Linked DNA regions of Oreochromis niloticus. The protein of the gene in region 2 binds, or shares a complex with, the protein of the main gene of each other region. Links are inferred from orthologs where the notes say so. Each region holds a gene or a part of one and is shown on either strand. Other genes may lie near its edges. The genes, in order: hdac3, coro2aa and gps2.

What was found.
Region 1: coro2aa (region 2) and hdac3 share a complex: the UniProt entries of both Homo sapiens proteins name them as parts of the N-Cor repressor complex. The link is inferred for Oreochromis niloticus from reciprocal best matches to the Homo sapiens genes CORO2A and HDAC3.
Region 3: coro2aa (region 2) and gps2 share a complex: the UniProt entries of both Homo sapiens proteins name them as parts of the N-Cor repressor complex. The link is inferred for Oreochromis niloticus from reciprocal best matches to the Homo sapiens genes CORO2A and GPS2.

What each region holds. Positions count from the first base shown.
Region 1 is NC_031966.2:33,367,645-33,378,722, reverse strand, and holds hdac3 (histone deacetylase 3), read right to left. Parts: upstream 5,556-11,078; 5' UTR 5,400-5,555; coding exon 5,345-5,399; intron 4,605-5,344; coding exon 4,522-4,604; intron 4,361-4,521; coding exon 4,218-4,360; intron 3,965-4,217; coding exon 3,883-3,964; intron 3,317-3,882; coding exon 3,260-3,316; intron 3,171-3,259; coding exon 3,115-3,170; intron 3,030-3,114; coding exon 2,896-3,029; intron 2,294-2,895; coding exon 2,213-2,293; intron 2,093-2,212; coding exon 2,019-2,092; intron 1,927-2,018; coding exon 1,862-1,926; intron 1,685-1,861; coding exon 1,595-1,684; intron 1,504-1,594; coding exon 1,445-1,503; intron 1,195-1,444; coding exon 1,115-1,194; intron 1,018-1,114; coding exon 860-1,017; intron 779-859; coding exon 709-778; 3' UTR 95-708; downstream 1-94. UniProt on the Homo sapiens protein: Histone deacetylase that catalyzes the deacetylation of lysine residues on the N-terminal part of the core histones (H2A, H2B, H3 and H4), and some other non-histone substrates.
Region 2 is NC_031971.2:17,333,778-17,344,864, reverse strand, and holds the start of coro2aa (coronin-2A), read right to left. Parts: upstream 4,372-11,087; 5' UTR 4,345-4,371; coding exon 4,285-4,344; intron 1-4,284. Other genes in the region: uso1 (general vesicular transport factor p115), read right to left, coding at 9,055-9,129, 10,606-10,821, 10,951-11,055.
Region 3 is NC_031967.2:15,821,291-15,832,278, reverse strand, and holds the start of gps2 (G protein pathway suppressor 2), read right to left. Parts: upstream 5,639-10,988; 5' UTR 5,451-5,638; intron 5,050-5,450; 5' UTR 5,026-5,049; coding exon 4,932-5,025; intron 3,246-4,931; coding exon 3,136-3,245; intron 3,039-3,135; coding exon 2,926-3,038; intron 2,843-2,925; coding exon 2,763-2,842; intron 2,681-2,762; coding exon 2,601-2,680; intron 2,499-2,600; coding exon 2,327-2,498; intron 1,063-2,326; coding exon 985-1,062; intron 894-984; coding exon 817-893; intron 634-816; coding exon 538-633; intron 349-537; coding exon 256-348; 3' UTR 1-255. Other genes in the region: gabarapa (gamma-aminobutyric acid receptor-associated protein), read right to left, coding at 7,355-7,435, 7,583-7,701, 7,802-7,880, 9,206-9,295. UniProt on the Homo sapiens protein: Key regulator of inflammation, lipid metabolism and mitochondrion homeostasis that acts by inhibiting the activity of the ubiquitin-conjugating enzyme UBE2N/Ubc13, thereby inhibiting 'Lys-63'-linked ubiquitination.

The DNA.
Region 1 (11,078 bases), on a different chromosome or scaffold from region 2:
TTCTACTGTGGCTGCCAAGACCACCGATAGAACTGTTCATCTGCAAAAGCATGATCAGACAATCTACAGGCTTCATCAGCACAGTCATCCGCAGTTTTGTACAGAACAGCAATGGGCACCAGAAGAAACTGGAGCATGGGCAGTTCTTGGATCAGCTTCTGTTCGGTGGCCTTGCATACAGAGGTTGCCAGATCAGTGCGAGTTGAAATGGTGCCCCGCTCTGTGCTGGACTTCTCAGAGCTGTAAGGCACATGAATAATGCTAGTCTGCTTCTGAGAATAATGAGTATATTTGAGATTGTGTCTTTGAAAACTTCAGCAACCATCTGAGCAGGCCTGTGTGTGACTAATGCCACCGAGCAGGCACTCCCACGTTTGGTGCCAACTCTGTGTTGGAGTTTTTTCGCCCAATGCAATCTGGCCTCCAACCAGCTGCTCTCAACTCCTGCGGGCTGACTGGTGAATCTAAATCGTAGGCTGTGTGCAGCATAAGTCTTTCAGAAGCCAAAAATTTCATTAAGATAACATGAAGATCACAAGCAGGAAAAAAAATGAAACAAAATCTGGAGCAGAAACAAGAAAAAGAGCAGCACGTCTGATATATGTCACGTTTCTGTGTGTATACAAAGACCAGAATGCACAGGAGTCTGTTCTCGGAGTCCTTCCAGAAATGCTTTCCTTGTTTCACCGTGGGGCTTTAAAAATACCGTCAAATTTCTACGTCGCTCTCTTTGTCGTTGTCGTGGTCACCGTCGTAGAACTCATTTGCTGCCTCCGGCCTGTGAGAGTCACATCATGAACAGTGAGATCGTGCACACTAATCTTTCATAAATACACGTGTGTTGCTGGCTCGTGCTGACCTGGTGTAGTTCTCCTCAGCTCCCCTCTCATCGGGGTCGGGCTCGTCGTTGCGCTCGTAGCTCAGCATGTCGGACGGGACGTCGTGGATCTGAACGCTGGGCGCGTGGTTCAGCATTTTCAAGTTCTCAAACACCGTCTGACGGATCTGCTCCAAATACTGCACACACATGAACACAGCGAGAGGGTCGGCCGACTGCATGTCAGCATCTCTACTGTGCACTTTACACCAATGAAAAGAGGAATGATGCTTTTACCTGTCGGGAGTTCTGGTTTTCTATCCTGGTGCTGACATCAGGGTGCAACGTGAAGTCTGGAGCAAAGTACTCAAAATACTCTGCAGACGAACCAAATCAGACAAACGGGATGTTCCAATTATTTCTATTCACTTTCCTTCTTGTTTCACCCTCAGTCCTCTGTAGTGTCACATGTAGTGACTCTAAGAGTAGCTACTAACTGGTTTTTAATTTGTTGTTTATGCATAAATCATTTTTCAGGCTCATTATGACATCCTGGACAACAAGAACACGCACAAAACAATCCAACAAAGATATTAAAATCTCACTGAAACATGAAACATAGCTCACCGCTGTAAGGCAGCTCATCACTGATGGATTCATCCAACAACAGAGACGTCTCATAGGTCCTACAACACAGCACAGCACAGATTATTATCATCATCAGATCATCATCATCATCTTAAAGCTGTTTTTATGGAAATTATGCATCAGACTGACCAACAGCGAGCCACGTTCCTCACTGTGTATCCTCCTCCTCCCAGAACCAGCAGAGGGATCCTAAAGCTCTTCACAAACTCCACACACTCACTGAAAGCCACACACACACACACACACACACACACACACACACACACACACACACACACACACACACACACACACACACACACACACACACAGATTATGTTGCAACTATCAGTGCTTGTGTGCTGGCTGTTTCAAAACATTTGAGTTCAGCTGGAAAAAACTGTGTTTATGTCTCACCCGTGTCCTCGGATACTGAGGTTGAAGCAGCCCAGCCTGTCGCAGCCCAGCGAGTCCGCTCCACACTGCAGACAGACACACACCAGGTGAGGTAATCGCACACACACAGAAACAGATTAAATCATACAGAAGCAAACGATAGGCGCTACTGACTGACCTGCAGGACGATGCAGGTCGGCTGGTAATAATCCACCACCTGTTTAATAACGGGCTGGAACAGCTGCCTGTAGCCTGAAAACAAAGCAAAGCATGCAAACAAGTTGGTTGAAGCTTGTGTGATGGTCACAACAGTGCAGCAGAGCAATAAGAAAGTGTGATCTCATGTGTCAGTGAGGATGTTGTTGCACTCACTCTGGTCATCGATGCCGTCTCTGAGAGGAACATTGAGGCAGTAGTACCGGCCGCTCTCTGCCCCGACCTCGTACATGTCACCTACAGGAAGCAGAGCGAAGAACTGATGATGAAGTTCTGTTTTTGCTGGACTTTTAATTCCAATCAGTGATTCCACGGTCAGAAAAACAAACACTACTTTAGAGTCGTATTTAAAAAGAAAATAAATAGCACTGCTAAACAGCTCAATCAGTGACAAAGGGCAGCACAGGCAGAGTCCAAGACAAACTTAATGGGGACCGAATGGCTCGTAACAACAGGGTCAGACACAGCCTGAGGACACGGCCAAGTCCAAGCTCAATCCTAACAAAGATTATATTCTCTCAAAGACAGCAGGAGACGGCGTAATGGACACAAGAAGCTTGTTTTATATACATAAATGGTCCTATTTGTATACATCAGTGATATCTCACAGTTTTATGACTCTAGAGGAAATTACTGTGAGTGTCTGCTACAGATGGAAACCCGCCTGGAATACACTTATCATTTATCTGCTGATACAGCTGACAGAGGACTACATCAGTATTTCTATGCCTTTAAATTGGCCTTCTGGGGCTGCACGCAAGTAAAATAATAATAACAAACGATATAAACACCACTATGTGGACAGCAAACATTTGTTAGATAATTAAAGCTGCATTTACCTGTCCCTGGGAAAAAGTAGTTCCCGTATTTGTGAAAGGACACGGTCATGACTCGGTCTGTGAGGTAAAAGGCTTCCTGGACGCCATCGCCATGGTGAATGTCTATGTCAATGTAAAGAACCCTGGGGTGGTACCTTGAACACGCACAGAGCAGGAGAGTTATGTCACCAACAGACACGGTAAAGATTCGAGGAGAGTTACTCAGGAGCGCCGTCTTACTTGAGGAGCTCCAGTATACTGATGACGATGTCATTGACATAGCAAAACCCAGAGGCCTACACCAACACAAGAACCAAAAGAGACATTTAACTCAAATGAGCTGAACAGAGAAGACACACATCAATATATGTGTCTTTGTTCTAACCTCAAATTTTTTGGCATGATGCAAACCTCCGGCCCAGTTTATAGCAATGTCACAGATCTGTAAAATAAAGCAGAGTCAGCATCAATTAGAGCTCACAACTTTAACTGACCACGATGCAGAAGACTATGACGGTTTTAAAGGATGGAAAACAAAACAACCAATCAGAAACGTCTTTGATGAGCAACAATTTTAGTTTTTAAACACAAACTAAAACATTCTCACAAAACTCCTGAACGCAATATGTTTAGAGGCAGTGCTTCCCCTATCCTCCCTTTAGGTTCACTTTTTTCTGATTAGCTGCCCTTTACAAACAGAAAGACTGAACAGCAGGTCTACTGCTGCTGGGAGAAAGAGAGAGAGAGATACTTTCCCTCCTGCAAACATGAAGAGAGGCCTTTCTTCTTTCTTACTTCAGCTAGAGAGCCTTGGTCACATAGAACAATGAATGACTCAACCTGCTTCCCAAGGATATCACATAAATGAGTGTCTCTGTCAACACGTTAAGTTGTAATTCAAAATGAAACCAACAGATGCCACCCTAGGCTACCTCGGTCTTGTGTTGTTTTTGCTTTTTTTTCTCTGTAGCACCAAAACCATCAGCTGGGTTTACGTGTGTGTGTTACCTTGTGGTTGAGCTGTGTAGCCCCCTGTAAGGATGCTCCCGTGTATCTTGAGCAGAACTCAAACAGTCCTGGAAACACAGGACTAAAACACACAGACATGAAATATTTAGGTTATGGGTTTGTCAGCAGTGATGATCAGAGAGGCTTTTATACTGAAACATTTACAATAAGAAGAGCAAGATAGCTGCTTGAAAAATACAGTCCTTAGTTCTTAATTCCTATGGAAGCAGTAAAGGTGTACTTAGTTTTTCACAGGTCTTGTGAAAACTTCATTAAATCATTCAGATTCTTTTTCTCGATAAAAACGTATTTAATGAGAACGAGATAACGCTCACCAGTCATCTCCCACATTAAACGCGTTGAGACTCTTTGTGAAGCCCTGCATGTTATTGGGGCTGACCTTCTGTAGGAAGTCAATGTAGTCTTCAGAGTGGAAGCGACACATGTCATGCTGAGATGCTTTGTATGGCTTGAACACCTAGTGGGAAAAAGAACATTTGATAGACTGCAGCATGATCTTGTTGTTTCTAACAAAAAAAACCAACCAAACAAACACAAGATTTATAAAATGTTATTTCAGTGTGAAAAGCATCAACAGGTGTGAACACGTGACAGTATCTGTCACTACTGCTCGCTCACCATCATTTTCTTGTAAAGTCCATAGTGCAACACCAGACTGTGAGTGAGAGACAACCGGTGAGGCTTCATCGGGTGGCCAGCACCTAACAGAAACACACAGTTCATGCATTACAGGGCTTATATCTGCATTTCACAGACATTAATCAGGTCAAAATGCCTAAAAAAAAAAAAAGAACTAAGTGTATACATTATGGCTAATCACCTAAAAGAGAAACACGGTTGAAATTGGTACAATTTATGACGAAAGAGATTTGGCACACTGAAACAGAGCCATCCATGCGCTGTTACAAAAGATAAATACTTGAGGTAATTTGCAAAAAAAAACAAAAAAACAACAACAAAAAAAAAAAACAGGCACAGTAAGTGTATCCTGTGAGCATGCGTATTGCAGCACTAAAGTTTGAATTTGTACAGCGTATCACTTCACCGTAAAAGCAGCATAAGCGTAGACAGTCATATTACTTTATTTATTTATTGTTACTGTCACGCAACCGCCACGTTATCCATTTAAGACACCGTATGAAGCACCTAGACATCCGAATAAAAGCTTTAACAGGCAGATACTGAACACAGGGCTACAATACGCGTCAATAACGTTACATCTTAAGGTCAAAGGCGCAAGCAAAGCCCAGCTGTAATATATAAACAAATCAAATTAAATATTAAAGTGTAGCAGTGACGCAAAACTAAATGTTAAAAAGAAAGAAAGAAAAGAACTGAGAAAATAAAAATAAAACGCAGTCTCGTACACATTAGCATGTAGCTAGCTTTCCTTAGCATCAGCTCCCTGAGTAGGCCGGTTCACTGTGATAATAAAACTTACCGTAGTGGAAATTGCCCACGTCTGGGTCGTAAAAGTAAGATGTTCTATTGGTCATTCTGAAAGCAATGTCTCCCGACTTTCTACGAAAAACTGTTGTCGTCTTTGCAGCTACAAAACCCGCATTTTTCTTTCAATTAGCAGATAGCCGCCATAGTAAACACCGAGGCGTCTGCGTCATCACACGGAGACAGCAGCGACGGAGAGGGGAGGGGCCACGGAGCTGGAAAGAAAAAAACCAAAACAGCCGCGACAGATTGAGAGAAAGCTACAGTAGCTTTCTGTATTTTTCATTACATGAAGTTAAAGAAGTACAATTGAAAAAGAATGGAAAGAAACCTTGAGCAACGTGCTTAAGTTATACAGTATATACAATATACAGTTTACTTTAATAAACTCATCCACACATAATTAAAACTTATATTTTTTTTTACATATCAGTGCATAATACAAATCCCTTGGTTATGTCTTAAAATTAGGAAAATAAAATCTCAGACTGAAAGCATAAGACGGCATATGATATACACTGTGTTGTTATTATTTTAAAAAAGTAGAAAATACAGAAGCAGTGTGTGAAAAGCCAATGCACCCATACTGTTTCCACTGTGATTGAGAGAGTAAGTAGCAGCCAGGTACACACTTGATTAACTGATCATCAGTAAGTGTAAAAAGTTTTAGCAGTTGGCTAAAAGGGCATTTAAAAACAAATTGAAGTACATTATTCTGCAGTTAAAAACATTGTTTTAGATCCCTCAGGCAGATGTGTGTAACTACTACACACAGAAAGCTCCGGGACCGGATAACATCCCAGGTCGTGTTCTCAAAGCATGTGTTCACGAACTGGCAGATATGTTCACAGAAATCTTCAACCTGTAGTTCTTTAAGAGGACCACCATCACACCTGTCCCAAAGAAGCCTAATCTGAGCTGCTTCAATGGCTACACCCAGTAGCACTCACCTCCATTGTTATGAAGTGTTTTGAGCATATAGCTCATATCACGTCTTTGCTGCCTGCTAAGACCTGCTAAGGATGTGTTTTCCTTTCTGTTTACCTGTATAAATCCTATGTATACCCAATGTTATACAAACCTGAGAAAAAGATAAGAAAAGTTATCCTAACCAAACCAAGTTTTAACCCTCTTTTTTATGTATGTCATATACAATTATTATTTTCTTTGCTCCTCAATAGCCACAACAGTTCGATAAATCTGATCTGACACTATTAGAATACTTTTCTGGTTAAAATCTGTCGCGTGCTATCAGTTGGCAGTGTCAGGTTTAAATGTAGTTACCTTTGAGCTATTTTTAGAGGATTATTTTGCTATTCAGGTGATTTTGACAGCATCTATTATTCATCCAGGACAGCATGTCTCTGCAAGCTTACTGACAAATTACATGAGGATGAATTCAAAACAGCACCAAAGCGCTAACAGTGGCACCGGTTTCATTCTTGAACACCTGCTCATTTAAAAATGATGAAGCGGAACTTGCTGGAGCTTCTCTGCATCATAAAATGCTTTTTTCCCCCTACTTTTAAAGGCAGACTGTACACACGTGGCAGTGAAAGGACGGTAACAGAGGTGGAAAACAAAGGAAACATGTTACTGTGTATCCACTGTATCCAGCATCAGTGAAAATCAGTAAACATGCGGTCAGACTGTGAAGCTTTGAAAGTTTAGTGTCTTTGATTTCATTTCCGTGTCTGTATTCTTCTTTTCTTGTCCACGTGTTTCCTCCCTTCTTTTCCGCCGTAAAAAATAAAAATCTGTGTGTGTGTGGACGGGTATTAACATCTTTGTGATTCAGGTGTGTTGAGCCAGAGTGAGATCTAAAGCCTGCAGGACACCGGCCCCTGGGGCTAGGGTTCCCCACCCCTGCCTTATGGGGATCAAAATTCTGGTCCGAACGAGTTTGAAGGCATTTTTGAGACTAAAAATGTGGTTTTAGTGTCAGGGTTACAATTGGGTTATGGTTGGGTTTAGGGTTAGGCATTCATTTTTCATGGTTAGGGTTAGGGGTAAGGGGCTAGGCCCCAGCCACACCACACCACAAACACTGGTAAGGACCAAGCAACAACTTCTGGCACTGGAAGCCTAAAAACCCAGCTCCAAAACCAAGTCAGTCACTATAAAAAAAAAGGCATCTTTACAGCATTCAAAATCATTACAGCCTGTTCTAAAAACAATTTGGTCCCTAAGGATTTTTGGAGAAAGGTGTGAAAAAGGGAGGGCAGGAGGGGAAGACAGGAGATATTATTAAAAGGCAAGAACTGCTCAACAAATAATTCAATCATTTTAAATGATCTATGCATGTGTTGCTGCACGAAAGGTTGTATGAAAATACCAGCGGGGTTGATACAGTTTAGTGCAGGTAAATGGTTTAGTGTGCAGTATTGTGGTGAAGTCTGTAGTAACACACTATGTTGGGCTGCTGTACAGGAGGGAAAGGACACAGCTGTTCATCCATGAATTTTAAGGGTTGTGCTGGAGAGGCTGGCACGACTAAAGCCTTCACTCTGCAGTATGTGTGTTGGCTTGTCAGTCGTTTTGCGTTGGAATTTCTGGAGGTATGTTTGATTTTTCTATCTGCTGCTTGTTTGCTTCCTCTCACCCTCTCTCCGTCTCCCTCCCTGCTCCGTGTTTTTCTGCCTGGAGCTAAAAGGCAGTGCTGCTCTGGAATTGAATCGTTTATGTATTATTCATTGCTGAAGTTGCAAGTTACAGAGAGTTCAACACAGGTTAGCACAGGTGTAAAATTTATATGTCTGTCTGTCTGTATCATTAAGAATTGTAAGAATTTACCTTTAGGCACTATTTAAAGCTCCTTTTATTTCCCCCAAAATAATATTGCACACAAACAGTTCTCACTGGGGTTTCATGTCTTGTGGGGGACACAAATGTTTCCTAAAAGATCACATTTACAGTAAACAAGCTCTCCTTAGCAGAGCTCAACTAACATCGAGATCATTAATAAAACTATTTTGAAAACAAATAAATTTAACTTTTTATTTGCAATAATAATTTAATGTATATAAAGGACTGAAGCCAATATCAAGATACATAGTAACACTAATACTAATAATACTACTACTAGGTGCACAGTCATCACAACTATTCATGATGGACAACCTTTTGTTCAGTTCACAGCCAATCACAGAGCCAGCTTTAATCAGTTTGTTCCGTCTGTTGCTGTCACAGGCTCTCCCATCAGACCGCACTTCCCACAACCGACTAATGATTAATAGAAAATCTGCATCGTTCTGCAACAGGAGCCTGCTCATCTCCTTTCTGTGGCCTCTGTGTTGGTCTCCCAGTTCAGCCGATGTGGACACCCAGGTACTCGTACTCCAACACCACATCAATATCCTGTCCCAGGATAGACACTGGTCACGCAACCTTCCTCGTCCTTCTGAAGTCGATCCCCATCTCTCTGACAATTCCTCACAGACCAAACTCCACAAAATCAGAATCACATTTATTGGCCAAGTATATGTGCAAACACATACAAGGAATTTGGTTCCGGCACAACAATGTAAAACAGACAATTTATGAGTGGCACAGTGAACGCTATGCATAAACCACAGTATAAAAACAATCTAAATACTCACATAAAAAAACACAGGATTAGAAAAATGAATACCACAGAATGTACATAAAGTGCAGCTGCAGTCTGGCAGTGTGAAGCAATGTGACAGTTCATCTGTTTAGCATGGAGATGGCGAGGGGAAAGAAACTGGTCTGCAGGCTTCTGTACCGTCTGCTAGAAGGCAGCAGGTCAAAGAGTCTGTGTCCAGGGTGTGAGGGGTCTGTGATGATTTTCCCTGCGCGTTTCCTGGTTCTTGAGAGGTGCAGGTCCTGGATGGAGGGCAGGGGGGTGCCGATGATCTTTTCTGCTGCCCGTACAGTCCGCTGCAGTCTGCTCCTGTCCTGTTTAGTGGCTGCTCCATACCAGACTGTGATGGAGGAGCACAGGACAGACTCAATGACCGCAGTGTAGAACTGGATCAGCAGCTTCTGTGGAAACCTGTACTTCCCCAGTTGTCTCAGGAAGTACATCCTCTGCTGGGTCTTTTTGAGGATGGAGTTGATGTTGGTCTCCCACTTCAGGTCCTGGGAGATGGTGGTACCCAGGAACTTGAAGATCTCCACAGTCGACACAGGGCTGTCTGATATGATGAGGGGGTTAGGGTACAGGGTTCAGTACAGGAACTGGACGGGAGGTTTGCCTTAAGAAATAAATATACAAATGTGACTCACAATCGCAGACAGGCCAAAATCACTGAAGGAAATGAGATTGTGTAGAGGCCTGAGTGTGTGGTGGAAGAGGCACGCGGGGAATTGAATTAAAATACATTTTACTAAAGTTACCAACAGAGATGGGCAGTAACGCGTTACTTGTAACGCGTTAATGTAATCCGATTACTTTTTTCAAGTAACGAGTAATGTAAGGGATTACTATTGCAAAAACGGTAATTAGATTACCGTTACTTTCACGTAGGAACGCTGCGTTACCGCGTTACTAAAACCGTGATTTTTTGCGAGAACGTCTCATGACAGTGACGTAAGCGAGTGCGACGTTCGTGACAACAGCTGTCTGCAGATCATAATATATCGAGTGCGGGACAGAGTGTAGCATGCAGCGTTTAAAGCGTGGAAGTACTGACCTTATTTTGAGTTTGATTCCATAAAAAGTGACAAAAACATTAGTGTCCGTTGTGCGTGGGAAGAAAACTTCTTTTTACAGCGAAAAAAACCCCTAATCTTCCAAGCAAGCAGCGAGTGTACTACGACTGTAATGTGAAATTCACAGAGAAACTCGCGGATTCTTCCACTGACCGCTGCGGCACACCTGCACCAGGGTAAACCTCCGCCTACCCCAGTCCTGCTTTACAGGTGAAAATAGAGCAACAGGACCGCTAGTCTTTGATTTTATTTATTTTCTGCTGTGTTTTACTTGCATCTATTTGAAAGAGTGAGTGTAAACACAAAAAAATATTTTATTTTATGTGCTGGAATGTGCAGAAAATAGGTTTAAATGTTAAACAAATTTCTTCCAGTCAGAGAATGTTGCATATAATTTAATTTTTGCTTGATGCATAAAGTTAAAAGATTAAAACTAATAAAACAAGTTTTAAAAAGAGACTTTTCCATTTGATTACATTTTGTATGATGAATTATGCAGAAAAAGTAGAATTGGGCTGAAAGATCTATCGCTTTATCACCTATTCAGGTTGTAAATCGTGTTTTTAAAAAGTAACTAAGTAACTAAGTAATTGATTACTTTTGAAAATAAGTAATCAGTAAAGTAACGGGATTACTTTTTGGGGGAAGTAATCAGTAATTAGTAACTGATTACTTTTTTCAAGTAACTTGACCAACACTGGTTACCAACTGGTGACATTTCTCCTTTCTGTTTGCTGGATATATAAATTACACTCAATTATAACACACTGTTGATCCTGCAGCCTGTAAAATATTCCACCTTGGATGTTTTAAACTTTAATAACTGCGTCACACTTGTCAGAGTTAGAGGCTTGTCAAGATTTTCATTTGTATACCTATGAAGTGTGTGTGTGTGTGTGTGTGTGTGTGTGTGTGCGCGCGCGCGCACACATGTGCTTGTGTGTGGGCTTCCTCCTTAGCTGGCTTGTTTTGGCCCCAGGGTCCAAATCTGTTCTGTCAAGCATCTGTCTCTGCCGGTTTGTTAAGACGCACACAAACACACACTCTCTGATTTA
Region 2 (11,087 bases):
GCCTCATCACTGCTGCAGATGTGAGTGACAGGAAGATATACTACAAGATAAACAGCCAAGTATTTCCACAGCAGGGAAAAAACAAAACAAAAAAATCAAAAGAGGCTCTGCTTCAGAGATTCTGAGGAAATGAGGATCTACATAGCAAACAGCACACGTCACAGGCTGGACAAAGCGAGGGAATCTCAGGTATGCGTTTAACAGTCTGTGTGATGACATGCCAGGTTAGCGTTTTATGGCCCTAACATGAAACTGCGCAGCAGATTTTTTACTCTCTCTACAGTGGATTTAAACAGAAGAGCCTGTGGTGCCTACAGATCCCACAAACACCTCGTTAAAAATGAGACTGTCAAGATTTTTCACCCGAGTTCAAAGCCGGCTACAGCAGGGAGGGTTCATTTGTGGTCGGGAGATTTTTGTTTCACACAAGCGCAGACGTGTGGCAAACTCATTAGTCTAATGCTGTTTTTGGCAGCGGGTTGGCCATTAGGTGGATGACAGGCCTAATTAGACAACTCGAGAGCTGGCATGACACCTCTCCACACAGCATGGCACCAAAAGTCGTGCCTCAAACTGACACGCTTTAGTCTTAAACTCTGCGCAACCCCAAAACATGTTCGCTGTTCATTAGCTACAGACTTTTTTTGTCAGGGGCACGCAGAAATCTGCATCAAGCCCCCGCCAAGCTGAAGAGCGGTAACTGACCTCGCTGTTTATCTCAGGCGCTCTGATAAAATTCCCAAAGGGGGGAGAGCAGCGAACTGTTAGTGTATCATTAGGAAGTATTTAAAAAATGAGGTCAATTCTTAAACTAAACACTATTATTTTACATCTTTAAACAGAGCAGCTCGACATTTTTGGAGCTTCTTTTTGAGTGTTAAATGCTTGGAAAGTGTTTAGGAGCCACTTCGCTTAGCATAAAGATGGGCGGAAAGGTCAGGCTGGTGTCTGTGGTCAGCCCTGACAGGAGCCTTGAACTTGGATCCTATTAAGTTTAATCAGTGCAGAGGGAAAATATGAAAATATGTCAGAGTCATGGGGGAGCTAATCGTTTCCACCTAACAGTCAGGGCTGCCACTTTCCAGCTAACAGGTGGGGCTGACAGTTTCGGCTTGATAAATTTAATGATCACAAACCCAACTTTGCCGCCGGGGTTGATGACCAAACTTTTTTATTAGTTCATTTATGATTTCCTAACCTGTTGAACAGTGAAAAGTCTGTCCATGGGTGACGATGTTTTATCTAGCCATATCAGCAACCTTAAAGTCTGTTTTCAAGGTTGCTAGGATACCCGTTGATATATTTTGATTGTTGTTTTATTGATTTGAGAGGTCACAAATATAGCTGTAACCTATTAATCCGCAATTCTTTTAAAAAGAAGAAGAAGCAGATTTCAAAGTCAGGTCCCGAAAAGCTGCAAAAGGGGCTTTAATAAAAATGATCACCAAAAAAAAAAAAAAAAAAAAAAACCCTGATGGCACCACTCATGACTCAACCTGAAGAAAGCTGCTGTGTAATGCATGATTCAGCTGTGACTTTATAACTGCTCACCTGTCAAATGGATACTCATGTAGCTAACCCTGTAAAGCTGCATGAATCTCACAGGAAAGACTCCTACCAATAGCTGGAAGCAGTAAGCTGGGCTGGCCTAAGTTGGGTTTATTATTGATGAGGCTCATTAATAAATGTAAACTGTTCTTTGAGCTAATTTTGAAGCTGTTAGTGATAAAAATGTTGAAAAAGATTAAAAACATTACATGAGCACAAAACCAAAACACTGTACGGCTCTGTCACAGTAGAATAAAAATAGTAGAGTAAAAATCCCTCGTTTTGACTTGGGAAGAAAGGAAGGGAAAAAAAATGGTTGCCCACTGATTAAATGGATTTTTTCCATTTCCAGCAACACTTTCTGATTAGCTGCGACGACCAACTGGTTCCCCAGAGCCAACGCCCTCAATATGTGGGCCAGGAATTGAACAGGTCACCTGGTGGGAGGCAACCTGTCTCCAAACACTGCGCTGTGACTCAGAGTGACTCCCAAACAGACTGGATAAGGCTTACAAAAATCTGCAGTCTCATCTCCCCCAAATATTCACCTTGGATACAAAGCTCTGTTTTTATCTAACGCTACAGGAAAATTGAGAATATCAATATCAAACTGCGAAAATAAATGCAGTTAAATGGGACTTTCACTGAACCAACTAACCACAACTTATGGAAAAATAAAATAGAAGGAAGAATTTGATAAAACAATTCAGTCACACATCTGAAAATCCCCTGGAAATAATACAAATATTCGTTTGGTCCAATCACGGCGCACGCTCTGGACCGGCCTTCTGTGAAACTGATGTGCACTGCCACACTTGAAGAGCCAACTGGCACTAAAGTCCTAAATTTGTCCCACAGCTCCACATGTGGTGAGCATTAGACTCGGTTCATTAAACACAGCTCTCAAACTGTTATTTTTCTTTGTCTTAAGTTTATTTACGCCCATCCAGACAGAAGTGAATTTAAAAAAAAAAAAAAAACACACAATGGATCCAAACAATCTGGTGAACTGGTGGCCTGAAAGAGTACAGCCACCCACAGAGCAGAAATAACAGGCTTCACTTAGAAGCAGGGAGGTGTTTACACTGAACGGCCACACCAAATCTATTCACAATATACTCGCTGATGGGACCTGCAGCATTTTGATTACAGCTTTATCAGTGTACAACTGTTTGGATTTTGTGTTTGCTCACAAGAAAAAATACAAATGTGCGACTCGCAGGTCCTGAATAATGAAACACCTTTAAAGTGTTTTTCCAAAACAAAAGTATTATTTAAAACGCTAACGTGTTCACACGGTTGTTTGAAAATTAACCAGATAACTAATCAGCTATCTGTAGGGATTACTTTTTTCCTTTTATTCAAAGATGAAAAGTAAACTAAAGCTTCAGTTAACAATTTTAAACAATTATTTAAAACTGTTTTCTGTTGAGCTATTGAGCTAATATTTTAAAACAACCAGAAACAATAATATTTTTTTAAAAAAGGCTGCTTTGTCCAACAACCTAAATACTGAATTTTGTTTCATATAAAAGAAAAAGAAGCAGAATTTTATTTTAATATCAGTCTTTTTTTTCAGTACTTGTTTGGTGAAAGTGCTCATTTTTAGCTGTTGCCTTGACTTGACAGCTATCTTGATTAAAAAGAGATAATGTTCAGGACGGTGTGCTTTTCTCCATCATACATGACAGCTAAGCATGTGTGTGCTCTGGACTGATAGCTGGAATAAAAAAAAGTCAAATGTGGATTTCACAGCTAAAATCTTCTAAATTTCCAATACTAAAGATAATTAGATGTGGAAAATCTAAATACTTTTTAAGCAAACTTAATTATGGATTTAATTCTATTTTCAATTACTTTCAATTTTATTCATTAAACTGCTTTCATTAACCCCAGTATCGAATCAGCCAATCACACTTGGATGTGCTCAAGACGACCTGCTGAAGTTTAAACTGAGCATCAGAACGAGGAAGAAAGGGGATTTGAGTGACTGTGAATGTGGCAGACGGGCTGCTCTGATTATTCCACAAACTGGTGATCTATACTGGGATTTTCATACACCATCTTCAGACTGTCTCAAGCATAGAGAAAGGCAACGGTGACGCTTTACAGCTGAAGTATGCAGAAGAGCATCTCTGAAAGCACAGCATGTCAGACCATGAAGCAGAAGACCACATTGAGGCTACAGTTCATACACGCTCGCCAGAATTGGACAACAGATCTGACGAGTCTCGCTGAAATGGTTGGGTCAGATTTTGGTGCAAACAACATGAAAGCGGGGATCCATCCTGCCTCGTATAGACGGTTCATGTTGGTGATGTAATGGTGTGAAGGATGTTTTCTCAGCACACTTTTGCATCCTTAGATCCAACTGAGCATCTTTGCCACAGAAAAATGCTTATCTGAGCATTGTGACCATGTCCATCCCTTTATGATGACATGTTCCAATGGCTGCTTTAGTTAACACACCATGTCACAAAGTTCAAATCATCTCAGACTGGTCTCTTGAACACAGGTGACTTCACTGTAATCAAATGACCCCCACAGTCCAAACCTCAGTCTAACAGAGCACATCTAATAGATGTGCCATCCTGTCAATACGGACCAAAATCTCTCAGAGATGTTTCCAGCACCTGTGCCGTTTAGAAGGCAAAAGATCCAACCCAGGACTAGCAAGGTGTACCTAATAAAGTGTCCACTTAACGTATAATCAATTCGATCAACTACTGTACTCACTCCGTTTAAATATGGTGAAGTTGACAGTGCAGGTTTTTCTGTTTCCACCCATGCAAACATAGAAACAGCAGAGAGCTATGGAGTCGTGCTATACTGTGTGTGCCTGGGGGGGGGGGAGACCCGATCAGCTGTAACAGAAACCGCTGCCCACTTCTGCGTCACATTGTCAAATACCAAGCAAGAGGTTGGAGGTGTGGGGTAGTGTGGAGGTGTGGGGTAGTGTGGGGTGTGGGGTGTGGGGTAGGGGGGGATGAAATGCGTGCAAACAAACCTCGTGGCTGCCGCAAAGTCGTCCGCTAAAATCCAACCTGGGAGCAGGCTGTGGAGCCGCATGGCACAGCTCCAACTCCGGCTGCAGCTCAGACCCCCCCCAAAGTGTCCCACCCGCACACGCAGCGAGTGCGTGATGGCAAGTAAGCAACACAAAGCGAGAAGTTGGAGCAGAAGGGAACTCACCTTTGAGACGGTCATAAGGGGCGAGATGTGGCGTCAGGTGGTAGTGTTTCCCCCGAGGGAAGAAGGCTCGAGCGGTGGAGCTGCTCCTGCTGGATGTGCTGGCTTTGCTGGTGGTGGAGGGGACTAGCCGGGGAGCAGGAACCAGTCGTGTTACATCACCGATTGCTGTGGCAGAGTGGTCACTTAAAAGTCATGACGCCCGCCTCAACCTTGAGAGTCCCCCGGAATTTTTTTTAAAAAAGAAGACAATAACAACAACAATAATAATAATAACATAAATAAAATCTCACAGCCAAAACATTTTCTCTGCCCTTCAAACTGCAGCCACCATGAAAAAAAAGAAAAGAGGAGGAGGAGGGTGGATGAGGAGAGATGCGAGCACAGGACGCGACGAGAGAGGAGGAAGAGGAGGGAGGAGGCAGGGAGGGGCGAGGAAATCCAGGTCGATCAGTGCAAAGATATAAAAATATTATCATGAACACCGAGTAGCCTGAAGGCCAAACAAGCGATGTTAAAATAACATTTTAACAGTTTCACACACAACATGACAGTTTCACGATCAATCACACAAGAGCAGAGGAAGCATTAGCCCTGTTTCGTTTACATTAACCTGCTCTTTATTCACCCACTGTAAAATCAAATAAATCTTAATTATAGCAGGGGTGTCAAACATAGGGCCCGGGGGACAGAGTCGGCCCCTCGGAAACTCTAATCCGGCCCACTGCACGGCTTTGGAAAATGTGGAGGACATACATTTTTATCTTTTACTGTAGTTTCACAGGTTTTACACCTTACTACAGCATTCCTTTATCACGTAGGAAAACTGAGGCGTACTGTTGAAATTGCTCTTCTTTGTCTTATATTAATTTTAATATACATTTATTTTATTTTATTTTTAATTGCATTTTTAACCGGTCCAGCACACATAAGATCAAAATAAGTTTGACATCCCTGATTTATAATCTGTCTGCTCTTGGTTGCATTTTCTTTTTATTATTATTATGCATAGCAGCTAAACAGCACCCTGTGTGTCCATCCCTAACTGCAGTTTACAGTTTCATTCATCAAAAAAAGTAGAAAAACATATCGATGATGCACATTTATTTTAAGAGTCCATCACCATCAGTGTCACCTTTCAGCAGCCAGGTTATCATATGAATGAAGCTCAGTTCAGTATATTTGAGAGCCAAATCAAAACAATATGCTTTAGCACCTTGTTTACTCTCGTGTTTGGCTCCCGCTGAGTATCGCTGTATTTGCATAGATCCTTTATTTGTATGTGTGTGCGTGTGGTTTGTGTGTTTTCTGTCACATGTTTTGTAATTTTACATAGATCATTTTGCTGATGTGGTGTGTGGGTGTGTGTGTGTGTGTGTAAAGCTCATTGACATGCACACCTGAAGCAGAGCGCCTGGTTTCTGTGTAGGCAAACCGTGCTGAGCGTGTCGTGTACAGTGTTCTGTGTTACAGCTGGCAGGCAGCAGGGATCACACAGAGGAGCTGTCAATAAAAACTCACACATCAGTTTTGCCCCAGGGTCTGGAAGCGAGAGCAGCTGCTGAAATGTGGTCAGCAAATGTGGCGATGTGTTGTTTTACTCTCAGTGAAGCATGATCCATATCACTGTGTTTGCATAGATCCTATATGCTTTATGTTTAGTGTGTGTGTGTATGTGGACATTATATAAACTCTGCTTACTAACGGTTACACTGCACAGATGTTGATTAATGTAAGTTAATGTAAAAGCTAAACAATTTTTAAAGACTAATGGTGAAAAAATTGAAAGCCAGATCATTTTTAATTGCTTATATGGAAAATTTAAAGAAACAGAAAGAAAAAAGGGATGGATGCCATGTTGTGTGACAGGTCTGCCACACATTTTCATTTCAGGGTTTTTATTGCCCCCCAGCGGTGAAACAGCGCTATTACAAAAGCCTTATCAATCATAACCTTAACACGTAAAAAAAAAATTTTAATTATTATATTATACAGAAAAAGATAATCGGTGAGTAAAATATTAAATAAACAGAATAAAATTAATTTTGGTAAATTTCATTAACAGTCAGCTAGTAATGAATAAAAGTCATGAGTAATTCATGCTGCTTTCACCATGGCACCTCAGTCATGGCTTCATCTGCCTTATTGGCTTACTTTTAACCAGCATGTGCTTCTTGTTGGTTAAAAGTTTTAAATTTCCTGTTTTATAATTTGTTGTCCTTTGTTTCAGGAAAATCAACCCTGACATGTGACTCTACTTCTCTGAGGTACTGGGCGAAAGAATATTAGATACATATTGGAAATAATCCGCTGGCACCAATTTCTAATATTTCAAGCAACTGTTGTAGAGGCAGGACTTTTAACATTTTAATAATCCTTGTGCATTGCTGTGAAAAAGCATTTGCCTCCTTCCTTCCTAAACTATGATTTAACGTATTGAGGGGGGGGGAATGCTAATCTAAGTGATTTCTTGATTCAGCAAAACTGACAGTAATCAGGCCCGAGAGTAGTTAGTGAAACTGAACTCAGCTTTCAAAGGTGTGAAAACAGGTGTGCGTCACTATCAGCCAAGGTTGTTGGCTGATAGTATGTTAACTGAGCACGGCTCTGTGAAAACATGGGCCTGTAGCTAAGGTCCCATTCTGTTTTCAACCATGGTTTAATACCATCAAGTGTCAACTTCTCCCACAAACGTCATCATAAACATGCGTCATGGTGGATTTATGTCAACAGGAGTGTGCCATTAAACTGAAGCTCGTTTATTAACGTTTCCAAGGTAACTGGAAATCCAAAACATTTTCTGATGAAGCTGCTGATTTTCCTCAACCCTAATTAAATGCAGTTATGACAAAGCATTATGTATCATTAAGAGACTGGTGCTTTGTATGTATGGCATTAAACAAGAAGCGACTCCCTCATTCACTAACAGTACATGCAGTAATTCATACATTGCAACTGAGTCATGGGGTGTACTCAGTCACAGCACTGGATAAAGTACTGTGGATACTTTTTTTGACGACTATGTTTATTAATAGCGTGCTTTATTATAATATAGTTTGCAGTTTTACCAAGCTTTCATTATCAGTTTTACTCCAGTCACACAAAGCCAGGCAGGAGTTAAACTAAACAACTAAACTCAGAAAGCATTTCATTTCAAAATATTATATTTGTATTTATTTTTATTCAACATGGTGGTTCCTTCTTTCATGAATCAGGAGAACATGTTTGAAGCATCCAAGATGCATATTTTGTAGTCCACCTGTAGTTTCAGCACATCATCCCATTGTTAAGCTATTTCCATCTCAGAAATCCTTCTGAACTCTCCTTCACATTTTTCTCGATCCACAAGTTTTTCACCAAGGAAAGGAAAAGTGTTTAGCAGAAGACGCTTTAGGGTACAACAGTTTATTCTCAGTAAATGTACGATGTCCCACCATGCCTCCTTTTCAGGTTTTAGTGACAGACACTAATCATTTAGTGTTATTAATTTGGTATGAAAACATTCAGCGTGAACATTTTTTTAAACACTTGAATTAAAAAAAAAAAAAAAATTAAAAAAAATCCTAACAGCCAGGTCTCATTATGGATTTAGTAAAATTTAATTTATCTACAATTATTCCGCCATACAGATAGATTCTTTATTCATTTCAATGTTCCTCTTAAAGTGATAAGTTACACAATATCATACAGAAGCTGGATGCCAGTACTGGACAAAAAGTTGCAAAAATATGTCTTTTTTGTCTCTTTACATCTTTTCCATCAGTGTTTTGCAGCATATTGCAGAGCAGTCAGTGAAATGGAACAACTGTGACGCTGAACTCGAACTGATCGGGGGGGCGAAGTGCAGGTGACGCCAATGCTGCAGGTGCTTGTACTGGTGAGGGCAGCAGTGCAGGATGGGGAAAAATGAGAATGCATGGTGACACATTTTAAATCTGCTTCTGCAAATTCTCCAGATGTGTTAAAATTAACTTAAGGGTTTTTCTGTGATTAGGAACTATGTGACAGTACATTAGAAAAAAAAAAAAACAACAAAACTAATAAAATCCATCACAAACTGATGGTGAATGCAGCAGAGATGAATACACTGACATGTTTAAATCTCTCAGCTGTCGCTGAAAATTGAGTTTTTGGAAAGAACATCGTCATCTTGAACTAAAAATGTCCAAAAACTAACACGTACACGTGTCGGGGTAAAGAAGAACACAGCATGGCAGCCCGGACGAGAAACTGCTTCCATATTTTAGTCCTACTCAGTTTCTCAGGTGCGTTTCTGCAGAGTCTTTTCTCTCCTTTTTCTCCTTTCATTGTTTTTCTCTAGTCCTCATCTTCATCCTCCTCGTCATCGTCGTCTGTCTGGTCCCTGGTGTCAAGGTCATCTTCATCTTCCACCTGCAAGGAAAGGGTCACAGTCTAACTAAAGCAGACAGACGAAACAGAACTGAGTGGTCCGCACTTAGGTGTTTGCATCTATTCCTCTGTAACTATTAAATAATTACTCACTGCTAAAGCTACCACGACAGCTAACGAGCTTTAATGATACTTAGTGCAAGACTAGACACTAAAATCTTGCTGGGTTTTTTTTGTTTGTTTTGCAATAAAAAAAATAAGATGAATGACTAAAAAGAGTCCATTTCAACCCTATAGGCCACAATCACACAGGCTTTGAAACCACCCAGCAGACACAGGTCACTGGAGACAACTTGTAGTCTCCAACCAGTTGGTGAGCGGTTGCTGCAGGTTGCTCACAGTTGATTGGGGGGGGGGAACAACAACAGGTGCATAAAGTTAACCAGTGCTGCACCACAGATTGCGGTGGTCGCCCGTAGTTTCTGTGTAACCTGCAGACACTCATGAATTACTTGCATGCAAATTATGGGCAACTGCAACCTGCTCGCAAGACTGCAGCACCCTCTATGCAGCCATTTTCACTTGGTGACAGCTGGAAACCACTAGCCAACCAGTCGGTGAATACACATTTTAGTTACTGCTGTCTCGGCATGTGTGATTGAGGCTGTAGTGTGGTCGTTTTTATTTTGAACTCTCGCTAATCAGAACCAACTCACTGTTCATTTATTTGGATCAGACTGACTAATCTGGGGCAAGTTCAGATCAGACTACATACACACTACACTGGGATAAAAACAAACAAAAAAACAACGACAAAAAAAAAAACAAAAAACCAAGGGACAGTTTGAAATTTTGTACTTAATCCAACTTCTTTTTTTTTTCCCTCCAGCTCTTTCAAATCCTCCATACCTGGCTATCTAATCAAAACTCTCACAACTGAAAAACATATTTAAGCTATTTTAAAAACTGCAATCAAATCAATTTTACACCGACTGTCATAGAGCCACATCAATATCATGAGATATGTCATAGTTTCAATAACAACACTGCTAATTTAATGTCTGTGATACAGGATATTACAAACAAGCAGTGTTACCCTGATGTTTGTTCTGTTTTAAGTCCTCTGGAGAATATTCATCAAAAGTGCAAACTTGCGGAAGTCACCAGGTGATGGATGAGAACAAAACTAGAGGCAAAAGGCTGAAACAGCAGCTCCACCTCATGTGGATGTTCATTTTCTCTGTGACACACATTTTCCTGTATGACAATACTAATGCAGGGAAGTAATCAGTCCCAAAATCTGCTGGGTGTCCCCGCCGTTAACAAAATATTCCTAAAATTAACAAAAATATTCATATTATTTAAGGCTATTAGATATTTCATATTTTCTACTGTTGAGTTTTACTGGACTGACCTAATTTCTCGCTTATATTTGGATAAATGAAGCAGATTGGCAGTCAAAGTGCAAACTATATATTTTTTACTGGTGAATTTAGGAAATGCTAATAGCTTTTCTACCGTCTCTCCCAGATCTTTGAGTCTCTTCTTCAAGCTGGTGATCTTCTGGTCTTGGTCTGCCAGCAACATCAGCAGGTCATCCTGCTCCTTCTTGGACTCCTGGACGTCAGTTTGCAGCTTCTCCTTCTCCGTCTGCAGAATGGCCACTGTGCTCGTGGTTGAATCCAGCTGCTTCTCCAGCTCCGCCCGGCTCTCTGACAGGTTCTTTACCTCTGCCTGAGCCGCAGAGGGAGAGGAAGGAGACGGGAGAGAGATAATATATGAGAAGTCCAAGCTGAATGCAGTATAAAAACATTACGGTAAATGAGGGTCAAGTGATTTAGAGGATCACATATTCTCACACACCTTTAGTCTCTCCATCTCAGACGTCTGCGCTCCCAACCTGCTCTCCAGTTCAGCCATCTTTGCAGCGTCTAATGAGCTGTCACTAGAGGGGAGTGTGTCAGAGGACTGAGAGAACCCAGAGAAAGGTTCATTAGTTT
Region 3 (10,988 bases), on a different chromosome or scaffold from region 2:
GGTAAAATAACAACATTAATTGAAGTAAAATATGAGTCTGAAGCTCAGAGCACATATGTTGAAGAGCTGCTTAGTAGCTTATTAACAACATTAAAACAAAGCTAAAAAAAAAACCAAACTATACAAAGAATAAAACAGATCATGTGGCATAATCCAGCCTACTTAAAAAAAAAAAAGAAAGCTATTTAAGCGCCAACAGGATCGCCAGAATCTTGAGTGAACTTCTGAAATCTGAGCACCGGTGAGTTTGATCATCTACTTGCCGTGGTGGTAAAACCTCTGCCCGCTTTGGCTGTGGGGCAGGAAGCTATGACGGGGAGCGCTCTGGGGAGAGCTCTGGAACGGAGCCTGGGGAAGGAAAGAGGAACCATGATCAGAAGAAAGACAAGAAGCAGAACATTAATGAACATAAACACTGTAGCAGCTCAGACTTTACTTATACTGAATATGTTTAGAAGAAAAACAAGTAATATACAAGTTACTTGGCCCCATAACACAGGATGAAAAACAAATGGTGTGTGTGTTTTGGGGGTTCACCTTTGCAGTAGGGATCTGGACCGCCATCGACGATGTGGGCAGCAGACCTGGGGCGGAAGGATGCATGGCTGGGGGGTGCATGGGCCTCAAACCACTCTGACATGACAGAAGGAAAACTGATCAGCTAATGGAACAACTTCTGTTATTTAGACGATCACATGTCACAGAGTTTATTTTTGTGTTTGGTCTAATATGAATAGAAACAGCAGGAAATAATCTAATATTCCAGCAACATCTGCTGTTTCTGCATCGCAGCATCTAAAGCTGAAATGGTCTTACTGCGTCAGTAAAGCCCGACTGTTGGTTAGCATGTTCCAGCTGCTTCTGCAGGGGTATTCCTGCTCCAGGGATGTATCCTGCAGAAGATGGTCAGGTTACTTTACAACTCTGAATTTTATGTAGATCGTGGAATTAGACATAGGTATAATTTACAGCAGTGAAACCCACCTTGCTGGGAGGTGAAGTGAACAGGGTAACCAGCCTGCTGGTGAGGGAGGTACTGCATTGCTTGAAATGCAGATGCGCCTGTGGGGAAAAAGGCAAAGTCATTACAATCAATACATCTCACTGTGATCTGATTGTTTTAATGATCAATCAGCGGGTTTCCGACATTACTGACGCCACACGGGAGCATCTGAATAGCATACCGCTGACTCCACGGTGCATCCACATTTGAAAAATGCAAGCTTAAAGAAAAATGACTTCGCACTCAGTGGGGGATTTTATTTTTCGGCTGAAATCAGGCTGCTTTGAACAAACGAAAGCTGTCGGCTGGACTGTCAGTTTAGAGCTTAGACTGTTTGAGCGGAGAGTTTCAAACTGTGCGAGAAATGATTTCATAGTTGATTTGTATAAACACGATGTACACGTCTATGTCAATCAAAATCAACTAAGACTGGTGGTACCTGTGGGCTGAGATGGGCTCAGCCTACTCAAACATGCATCTTGCTCAACAAAAGCATTTCTCTTTATGCCAATGAACACATATTAAAATACCAGCACTGTTTCTAACTTCTGATTGGTTGGACAGTCTTTCCTTTCTCTTCAAATTCAAACACCCACAGGGCTCTGAAGCAGGCCCAGAATGAAGCTTGATGACTCAGACTACACACAGACACACACATACATGATCTACTGCTTACCAGAGGTCACACACTCACACACATAATGTTCTCTGAACCATATATGGACTCAATTACATGTATTAGTTTAACTTTAGCTATATTTATGTGTATCATGCTTATTACTGTCAAGACTCTGATAAGGATATAGCCTTAAAACTACTAGAATGCCTTCCTTAACCTTTGAATAATGGCTATACCCTCCCTCTGGACTGCCCAACTATACTTCAACAAGCCCAGCCTGACACAGCAGCCTGCAACCGGCTCAGATTGTATTCTATGTCAGCTCCTGAAATCCAAGTAAAGATGGAGGAATCCCACACATGATGCTGATAATTCATTTCTTTGTGAGTTCACTGTGCCACTAGAGAACATTGTTTGAACATTAAAGGACAAAATGACCTCTTACACAATTACAACTAGTGTATAACACATTTGTGTTTGTGAACTGTGACGCACAAACAGCGTGGTACTGTGCTCTGCTGTTTTACACCTTCACCTAATGTGCATCTTATTTCACTCCCTCGTTTCCTGTTTCTTCCTGTCTTATACAGTTTTTTTTTATCGTGTATATGACTGGATGTAAGTCATGTCACTGTGACACATTACTCAAAATTTTACTGTACCACTGTACACATTGACAGCAAAGAAATCTTATCTCATCTTACCTCTGATCTGAGAGCTGCTTGCGAAACTGACTGGCACTGAGGGTCCGGGGGCGTAGCTGGAAGGATGCTGAGCCTGAGCCACTCCGTAGGGCTCATGGACCCCCTGACCTCCGCTGAACTGGCCATGCTCTGCGGAGCCTGAGCTGAAGCCAGGCGTCTGATAATGGCGTGCCTAAAAGAGGACAACGTGCACATGTAAACACTGTAAGAAGCATATTATATAGATCGTATTATATTTTATGAATTCTTTAAGTGGAACACTCCTTTTACTCACAGGGAGGACAGCAGCTGGGAACAGCTGTTTGCTCCTTTCTCCGAGCAGTGGGGCAGGTCTGCTGTGGCTGACTGGATTGCCTGAAGGAGAGAAAAGGAGAATGTCACTATATGAAAAATAATGACGACTCTGGCAAGGCGCAGAACCTGGAACTTTTCTCGCCTTGAATGCCGAGGAGGTGCTGTCCTGGGTGCATGGGCAGACTCTGCTGGTAGCTCGCTGATGTCAAAGTTGTAATATCACTAAAGAAGGAGACCAAAAAGATTAACCGACAATTAACAATCCTCTGACAAAACAACAAACTAAGTGAAGTACATATAGAAACCTCTGCTCTTTTCTTCGTCTTTTCTCCTCTTCGTGGAGAACTTTCTTGAGCTGTAAAAAGAGCTGATGTTTCTCTTCTTGTAGTCCCTGAAGTTTTTCCCCCATCTTCATCACCTGATGTTTATTTGAGGAAATCATGGTGTAAGAACACACAGACTTTGTTTTGTATAGAGCTGGGAGCACAGACTAGCTGAAATGTCACATTTCAAACCTGTTCTTTTGTTTCCTCCAAGGACATCCTCTCCTCTATCTCTTTTGTCCTCTTCCTCTCTTCCTCTTCCTTCATCTTCTGCTCCATCATTTTGTCCACCTCTTCCTCCTCTGAAAAAAAGTACATTTATTAAGGTGAGTATAATGTAGCTACTTTTTTTTGATTGCCTTTTAGATCTATGACCAAAGAACAGGTTGCAGGCAGACAGCTATAACATATACACTCACCAGCCACTTTTTTAGGTACATTTTGCTACTATAGGGTTGAACCCCTTTATTCCTTTAAAACTGTCTTAATTCTTCACTGGACATATTCAACGATGTGCTGTAAACATTCCTCAGAAATGATCCATGTTGACATGGCACATCACACAGCTGCTGCACATTCATGATGTGAATCTCTTGTTCCACCGCATCCCAAGGTGCTCTATTAAATTCAGATCTGGTGACTGTGGATGTAGTTTAACTACAGTGAACTCACTGTCATGTTCAAGAAACCAGTTTCAATTTGATTTGAGTTTTGAGACATGGTGTGCTATCCTGCTGGAAGCAGACGCACATGTTCATCAACAATACTAGGGCTGACGACTCTTAATTTGTCCTAAGAGGTCCACCGTGTTCCAAGAGAAAAATCACCATATCATTGCACCATTGATACAAAGCAGGATGGAATCATACTCTTATGCCGTTTACACCTAAAAGTGAGCCTACCATCTGAATATTGCAGTGGAAACTGACACTCATCAGACCGGCAAATGTTTTGTTTTGTTTTTTGTCAATCTTCTATTGCAAAATTTTGGTGAGCCTGTGCAAACTGTAGCTTCAGTTTCCTGTTCTTAGCTGATAGGAGCGGTGCCCTGTGCTGCTTTAACCCATCTGCTTCATGGTTTGACGTGTTGTGCATTCAGTGACACCTTGGTTGTAATATAGTTCGAGCAAAGTCATTTAAATCACATTTTTTCCTCATTCTGATGCTCAATTTGAACTTTAGTGGGTCGTCTTGACCATGTCGATATGGTAAATGCACTGGATGATTATGTATTTGTACCTAACAAACTAGCAGGTGAGTGTATTATTACATAGTAAATCACAATCATGGATGGATAAATGCAGAGAGGAATTTCCCCACGGGGATCAATAAAGTATACATTATTATTATAGATTATTTGAAGAATACACGCATAAACATAGGACTTTAATCTAGATGACGCAGACCTTAGTGAAATTTTCCAGAATTACAAAGAAAGAACAAGAAAAGTTAATTAATTTGTTTTATTGGCTAAATGCTAAAAACAATTTATACTCTGGAGCAGCGGTCCCCAACCCCCGGGCCTCGGACCGGTACCGGTCCGTGAGTCGTTCGGTACCGGGCCGCGAGAGTTGAGGTTCAGGTGTGAAATGTATGGTTTTCAGGGTTTTTATCGGTTTTCAGCGTTATTTTGTTATTGTTTTTATCGTTAACTCGGTTTTCCTGGGTCTTTTCACGTGTGTTATGAATAAATCTTCTTTTTTTCGGTACCGGCACTAGTTTTATTTTGTTGTATTCATCCGCGACACCTCATTGCCGGTCCGTGAAAATATTGTCGGGCATAAACCGGTCCGTGGCGCAAAAAAGGTTGGGGACCGCTGCTCTGGAGTATTACCTTTCCAAACACAGCTCAGCATCTTAACAGTGCTTGCTTATTTCTACAAGAATCCTTAAAGGTGTCAGATGTGACACCCTGTGACACACTAGGGCTAAACTACTTTTTAAAGCGCATACACACACACACACACACACACAAAATGAGAGAGCACCTTGTCTCTTGCGCTCTCTTTCCCTCATTATGTGTTTGTGGAGAGCTCTGGCCATCGCGTTGGACAGCTTGGGTCTCTCAAGCAGGGCGGGCATTGTGACAGGCAGTGGAGGGGCCAGCTGGTGTGGGTCAAAATGTCAGTAATGAATCGACAAGGTCAGATGAAATATTTAAAGTTCATTAAACTACATCAAAGTGTGCATCTACGCTCACCCAAACAGGTGTAACAACCACAGGCCTCGCTAGCTAGCCGATATCGGCCTAAGTTAGCACAGATAGCTGTACTTCCCAATACATGACAATATTTAGAGTATAATGCACCAACGGAAGGCATAGTAATTTAATATTACAAGTGATGTAGCTTACAAGTGTAAACCCCTGACAAAAATTATATATTTTAACTTAACCGGGAACAAACGTTAGCTAGCGAGGCTAGCTGCAGAGCACTTAACTGCGTTACGCATTTTATCCTACATGATCTGCTTTGAATTCTGTGCTGATAAAACTGTAAAAAGCTTACTTTTATTTCGTTGTGAGTCTTTTAATAAGAATCTAACCGTCTGGCGGTTTTCAGCTTGATAGACCTCGAGCGGTTAAAACAGATAAAAATCAAAACTTCTCCCACAAAACATAAACAGACGGAGCGATTTCCAGACCGGGGATGCTGTTGCATTTCCGGTTCAAAGAACGCGGTCACGCTTCGAAGTGCACTTTGGGAGTTGTAGTTTTGAAGTGCAATGCGGCGAATCTCACGTTGACGTCAGCAAAATGAAACTTCCAAGCAGTTTTGTGTATGTCGTGTTTTCTTTCCTTGATGCTTGATTTGACAGTTTTACAGTTCAAATATTTGATTTCCTATCAAGGGAATGACTTAGGAAACACCAAAGCTTCCTTGTGCCGAATGTGGGCTAACCACTTTGATTTCATTGGCAAAACATGAGTAATTTCCTCATTAATTACAACAGTAAATTACATGTTCCACTTGTCTTTTTTTCTTTTATACTTACATTACATACTACCTTCTTTGTTATTTGCTACTTACACAGAACTGTTCAACTATTAGAGCACTCAAAGCACTTTCTAACTGCAAGTCTCATTCACCCAAACACTTTTCTTTTCATGAATGTACTGAGGTCAAATTGGGTTTTAGTATCTTGGCTAAACATACTTTGACTTGTAGGCTAGAGAAGCCAGGGATCAAACTACCAACTCTCTGATTAGTAGAAAACCTGCTCTACCAACTGAGCCACATCAGAGCTTCCTTCCCGTTTTTTTTTTTGTATGTCCCTGTCCTACCAGTCTACTTTTGTAACGCCTTAAAGAAAGCAGGTGGAGGAAAGAATAGATGTTGGAGTCAAATGGCTTCCTTGCATATAACAAAAATTATAAACATACACGTGGACATGCATGACTTTGCGAGTCAGATTATCAGTGCAGCAACAGAAGCTGATATGATAAAACAACCCACGCAACCAGAAAAAAAAAACAAACTAAATCACAGGTTCATGTTTTTGTAACTTTTGTAACTCCCTTGAAGCGCACAGTGTCAAATTAACCAATGTAACGTTTCATTACATTGAAAGGCACAACTCACGTGGCTAAAAAAATAAAAGTGTAATTATTTGTTACTCTGTAGCAAAGGGACAAAAAAGACAAACAGCAGATAGTATTTCATCACATTTTATTATGTATGGTCATGAATAGAGAGAAAGAGCCAGTAACGCAGCTGTATACAGAGTTCAAATTGTAATTTTTTTTTTCTTACAAAAAAAAACAAACCCTTAAAAAAAAGAGAAGAAAAAAAATTGCACTCAGCTTTACACAACCCTTAGAAAGTAAGCCATCTAAAAATTAACAACAATAACAACAATAATCATTAGCAGTCAACATAATAGTCTTACCACTTAAAGCAGAGGATGATAATTTAGTCTGAATTCTATTATACTCCTTGCTAAGGTCCAATGCAGGGCAGCAAGCTAAATTCTCCTTAACATGCTTTAAATAAATTTTGCCACTTTAGTTTGTTTTTTCCTAGTGAAAGAGTTCTCTTTCCCTTTCATTTCTCAGCCTAAGCTCAAACTAACACAAATGGAAAAAAAAAGAAAAAAAAAAAAGGCCTATTTCTAGTATTATTTCATTAATCTCTCTCATTGTTTTTAAGTAAAGTACAATCGGTTTGACACTAGAAATTGAACTGGCCATGAGACCACTTAGTTACTGTTGAAAAGAAAAGTGGGAGACAAATACAATTCAGACTGCAGAGTAATAAAGACAGAATTGGATGCAAGAGGGGTAATGTATGGGTGGTGAAAGTGCATTTGACATATTCACTCTGGGAACTGTAGGCTGCTGAGCTGGATTTAATATTTAAATGAATGAATGGATGTGGAGGTCTCAGAAAGGTGGGTAGTGGTTGAAGTGGGATCAGATTTCCCTTTGGCTGTCCCCATACACACTCTCATCACTGTAGGCAATGTAGAGGAAAAAGTCCTCTTCATGATGCTCCTGATGGAAGGGGAAAAAAGAAAAAACATGTTAGCGCAATATCAATAATGTAGGGAGAGGCTAAAGAGGAACAACCAAAGGCAACATGCTGGTTAAGCCATAATGTGAGAGCATGTGAGTGAGCAGGAAGCTTAACAGGACTCTTGCCTGGTACAACAATCCCATGGTAGCTGAGGTGGGTGGAATGACGTTGTTTACAAAGAAGAAGAGCGCATCCTCAGCTCGCAAGTGGATTCTTTTCCGGATGAGGAAGTAAAACTGTCCCACTGATGAAAGAGACAATATGTAATAGTAGAAATTTCAGATGTGACATTGCCACTCTAAAATAGAAGTAAACAACTTTTTATGCTCCAAGGCAATGTTTACCCGTCAGGTCAGAGGGGACAAGGTACTTCTTCTTGTCCAGATCTCCTATTCTGGCTTTGGGTGCTTTCTCCACAATTACCTAAAAGGTTAGAAAAACAAAAGAAAAAAAAGAAAAGAAAGAAAAAAAAAAAAAAAAAAAACACAACAGGTGTACAACATGTTTTTATTAGAAAGGCTGCAAGTGTAGAGGGTGAAATATGGTGTTCGCTTCATTGTCTCGGAAAAGGGATCTGAGAGTGTACCAAACTGTCAGTCAAGCGAGGCCGAGCATATCGAACCCAGACGAAGTGTTTAATATAACACAGATTATATTTCGAAAAAGTATTTCAGTGTTGGAAAGAACCTGGTATATTTACACCCCGGCTATCAGACGTGCCGTTTAATTTTTGAACGCCTTCCTTACTAAACCTCTTTAAGTCTCTCTCCAGTCTAAAAATAGGACTGGTAAAATATCACTTGCCCACACGGTAAACACTGACTCCACAATTAATCAGCGTTTTTGCCCCCTCTTTTTTTAAATGAATCAGCACCTGATGTGACATTTTTTTGTCAGTACCATTTTATGATGGTGAATGAGAGTTTGAATTCAAATGATCAGACAAAACACGACATCTGTGAATGTCATCTGGGTCTTTGGGAAGTTGTTATGGACTGTTTTCACCATTTAGTAACCAAATAGGTATTCAATTAATAGAGAAAATAAGCAGTGGGTAATTGACTACGATAGTTAATTGTTTGTTGTAGCCACAGAACAAGTTTATGGTAAACGACGACTGAAGGACTGTAAAACGAAAGCTTAAAAGTGATCACGATTGAAAGGCAAGTGAATTTCGTCACACTTTACAGGAAAAACCCAAAATCCCCACATTAAATCAGCTGATAGTTGTGACACAAAGGGTCTCGATAGGCCAGACTAACTGGGGAAAGCCTTTATGATTTATCTCCAAGAAGCTGGGCGACGTAAACAACCCCGTTTTGTTGACAGCATCTATTTTAAGGCGCTCTACTGCGTTTCAACATCCAGCTACAGACCACTAAAAGAGTCTGTGCACACCTGCATGTCTTCACCGTAACCACCGTTACAGTCATAACCACCATTATCTGGCCACCAATGATGATTCACGGAAGAATAACACGGAGATCACCTGCTGGCCTGCTCAAAGCGGCCGAAATTCCTACTTAACCTCTGCCGTTGTTAGCTACCATGTGTGGCGGTTACAACGTGGCAGTAAACAAACTAAGCAATACATTGTGTGGGTAAAATCTCACTACAATATCACATTTAGATATTAAGCTTACATTAGTAATAAAAATAAAACAGTGAGCATAACGACATTAGCCTGACAGCAGTATAACAGCAAGGCAACATAGCTAGCTGTCAAGGAGCTAACGTTAGCTACTTACTGGCACCCTGTCCGGATACTTCTTTCTTATTTTCTCGCCTTCGGACCGCCTCTTCTCAAAGGGATGCTCTTCTTTGTACTGAAACTTCATCTTTAAAAGAGATGACAGACAACAAGTCGGTCACTCCGCGGTGGTACGGGTTGCTTAAGAAGTGACTCGAATCGCGGACACACAAACACAAACGATGCTAACTAGCCTTAGCCTCGCCACAGCTGTTTTCCTAGTGCGACTGCAGCGGAGGGATACAATAACAAGATGACGTAGAGGAAAGGGTAGTTCGCAGGGGCGTACCTCACCTTGTTTTAAACCCTGTTAACGTCGACTGTGTGATGATAATCGACGCGTATTCAAGAAAAAAATAATAACAATCTTGAAATAAACAGTATACGAAGGGCTTACGAATCAACGTTGCCTTTCTTTCTTTTTCTTTTCTTTTACGTGGAACTATTTTATGTTTTATCAGCCGCTGCGCATAAAGACGCTGGGCAGGGCACTGAGGAGGGATCTGTCCTTGTCATATGACCGAGGCCCAGCAGTCTGTGGTTGGGGGGGAGAAACTGAAAAACATGCGACATTTCATTGTGCTACGGGTTTCGCTGATGCACGGTGATAAACCCTGAACCAAACACGTTTATCACATTTCTGCAGCATGTTGGATTATTTTATGTAAGCATAAGTTACTGCGTATTTAATGGTGAACACAGTGCCTACTAAGTTTCCTCTAATTACTCGGGGTTTACGACTCATTACACCATAACAGACGAAAGCAGCAAATAATCAGGAGTTTTATCATTTATGCAAATTGTTGCTAAATGCTGTTTTTAGGATAACTTTATGTGTAACTATGGGAATTTACTGGGTTATTTTATTCATAAGTTTATATATTAAAAAAGAGTTTAATTTTTAAGTTTTGACATGAACACATTTGGTAAACAAACTGTGCCTCCAAAGCTGCCACTCATACATCCTGAAACACTCAGGAAAAGTTACTCACCTGCCTATTGCGCATATGACCCACAGGTCTGTGAGTCACATCCATGTGACATCCTTTTGGTTCAAAACCTCATGATCTTCCTTTTGTGCACAGTGATGAGACAGATTGCATATATCTAAAAATTACAACACATATTTCTGTTAAAGTGAAACAACCCTCTCCTGCTTCAGACCAGAACGTTGGCTGATAATTTTAATATTGTCTCTTGTTTTCTTTATTGGTTATACATTTTTTTGGTTGTATTTTTTCCCCCTTTGTGTTCTAGATTTCAGTCTCATGGCTCTTTCACAGCAGGAACTTTAAGAATTAAAGTGTATACTCAGCTGATGACAAACACTGACTGATCTACATTAAACATGATATTCTTTTTTTTTTTTTTGCCTCTCCCACTCGGCACTGTAGCAATTAGAATGATTGTCTGAAGGCCAAGAAAAATGCCTAACGGATTTATTTTTCCAAGTGGATCATTATGGCTTTGCCGTGGTCCATTTGATTGATCTTTATTATTATTAATTATATTATTTTATTTTTTAATTTATTTTTAACTTTTAAGTTATTACAAACGGAAGAGAGATGGCTGGAGGATAGGAAAGGGAAAGAACTAGACAAGAGAAGTTCAAGAAAAGGAGAGAGGAAGAGGGACAGTGAAAAAAAAGACACTAAAAAAATCAGCTGGATTACCTGCTGGAAGAAAAAAAAGAAAACAAGCAAAAGCAGCCACTGGGAGTGAGCCAGTACATACTCGAGCACCCAGCCCTGGATACCGTGAACCACCAAAGCACCGATGGC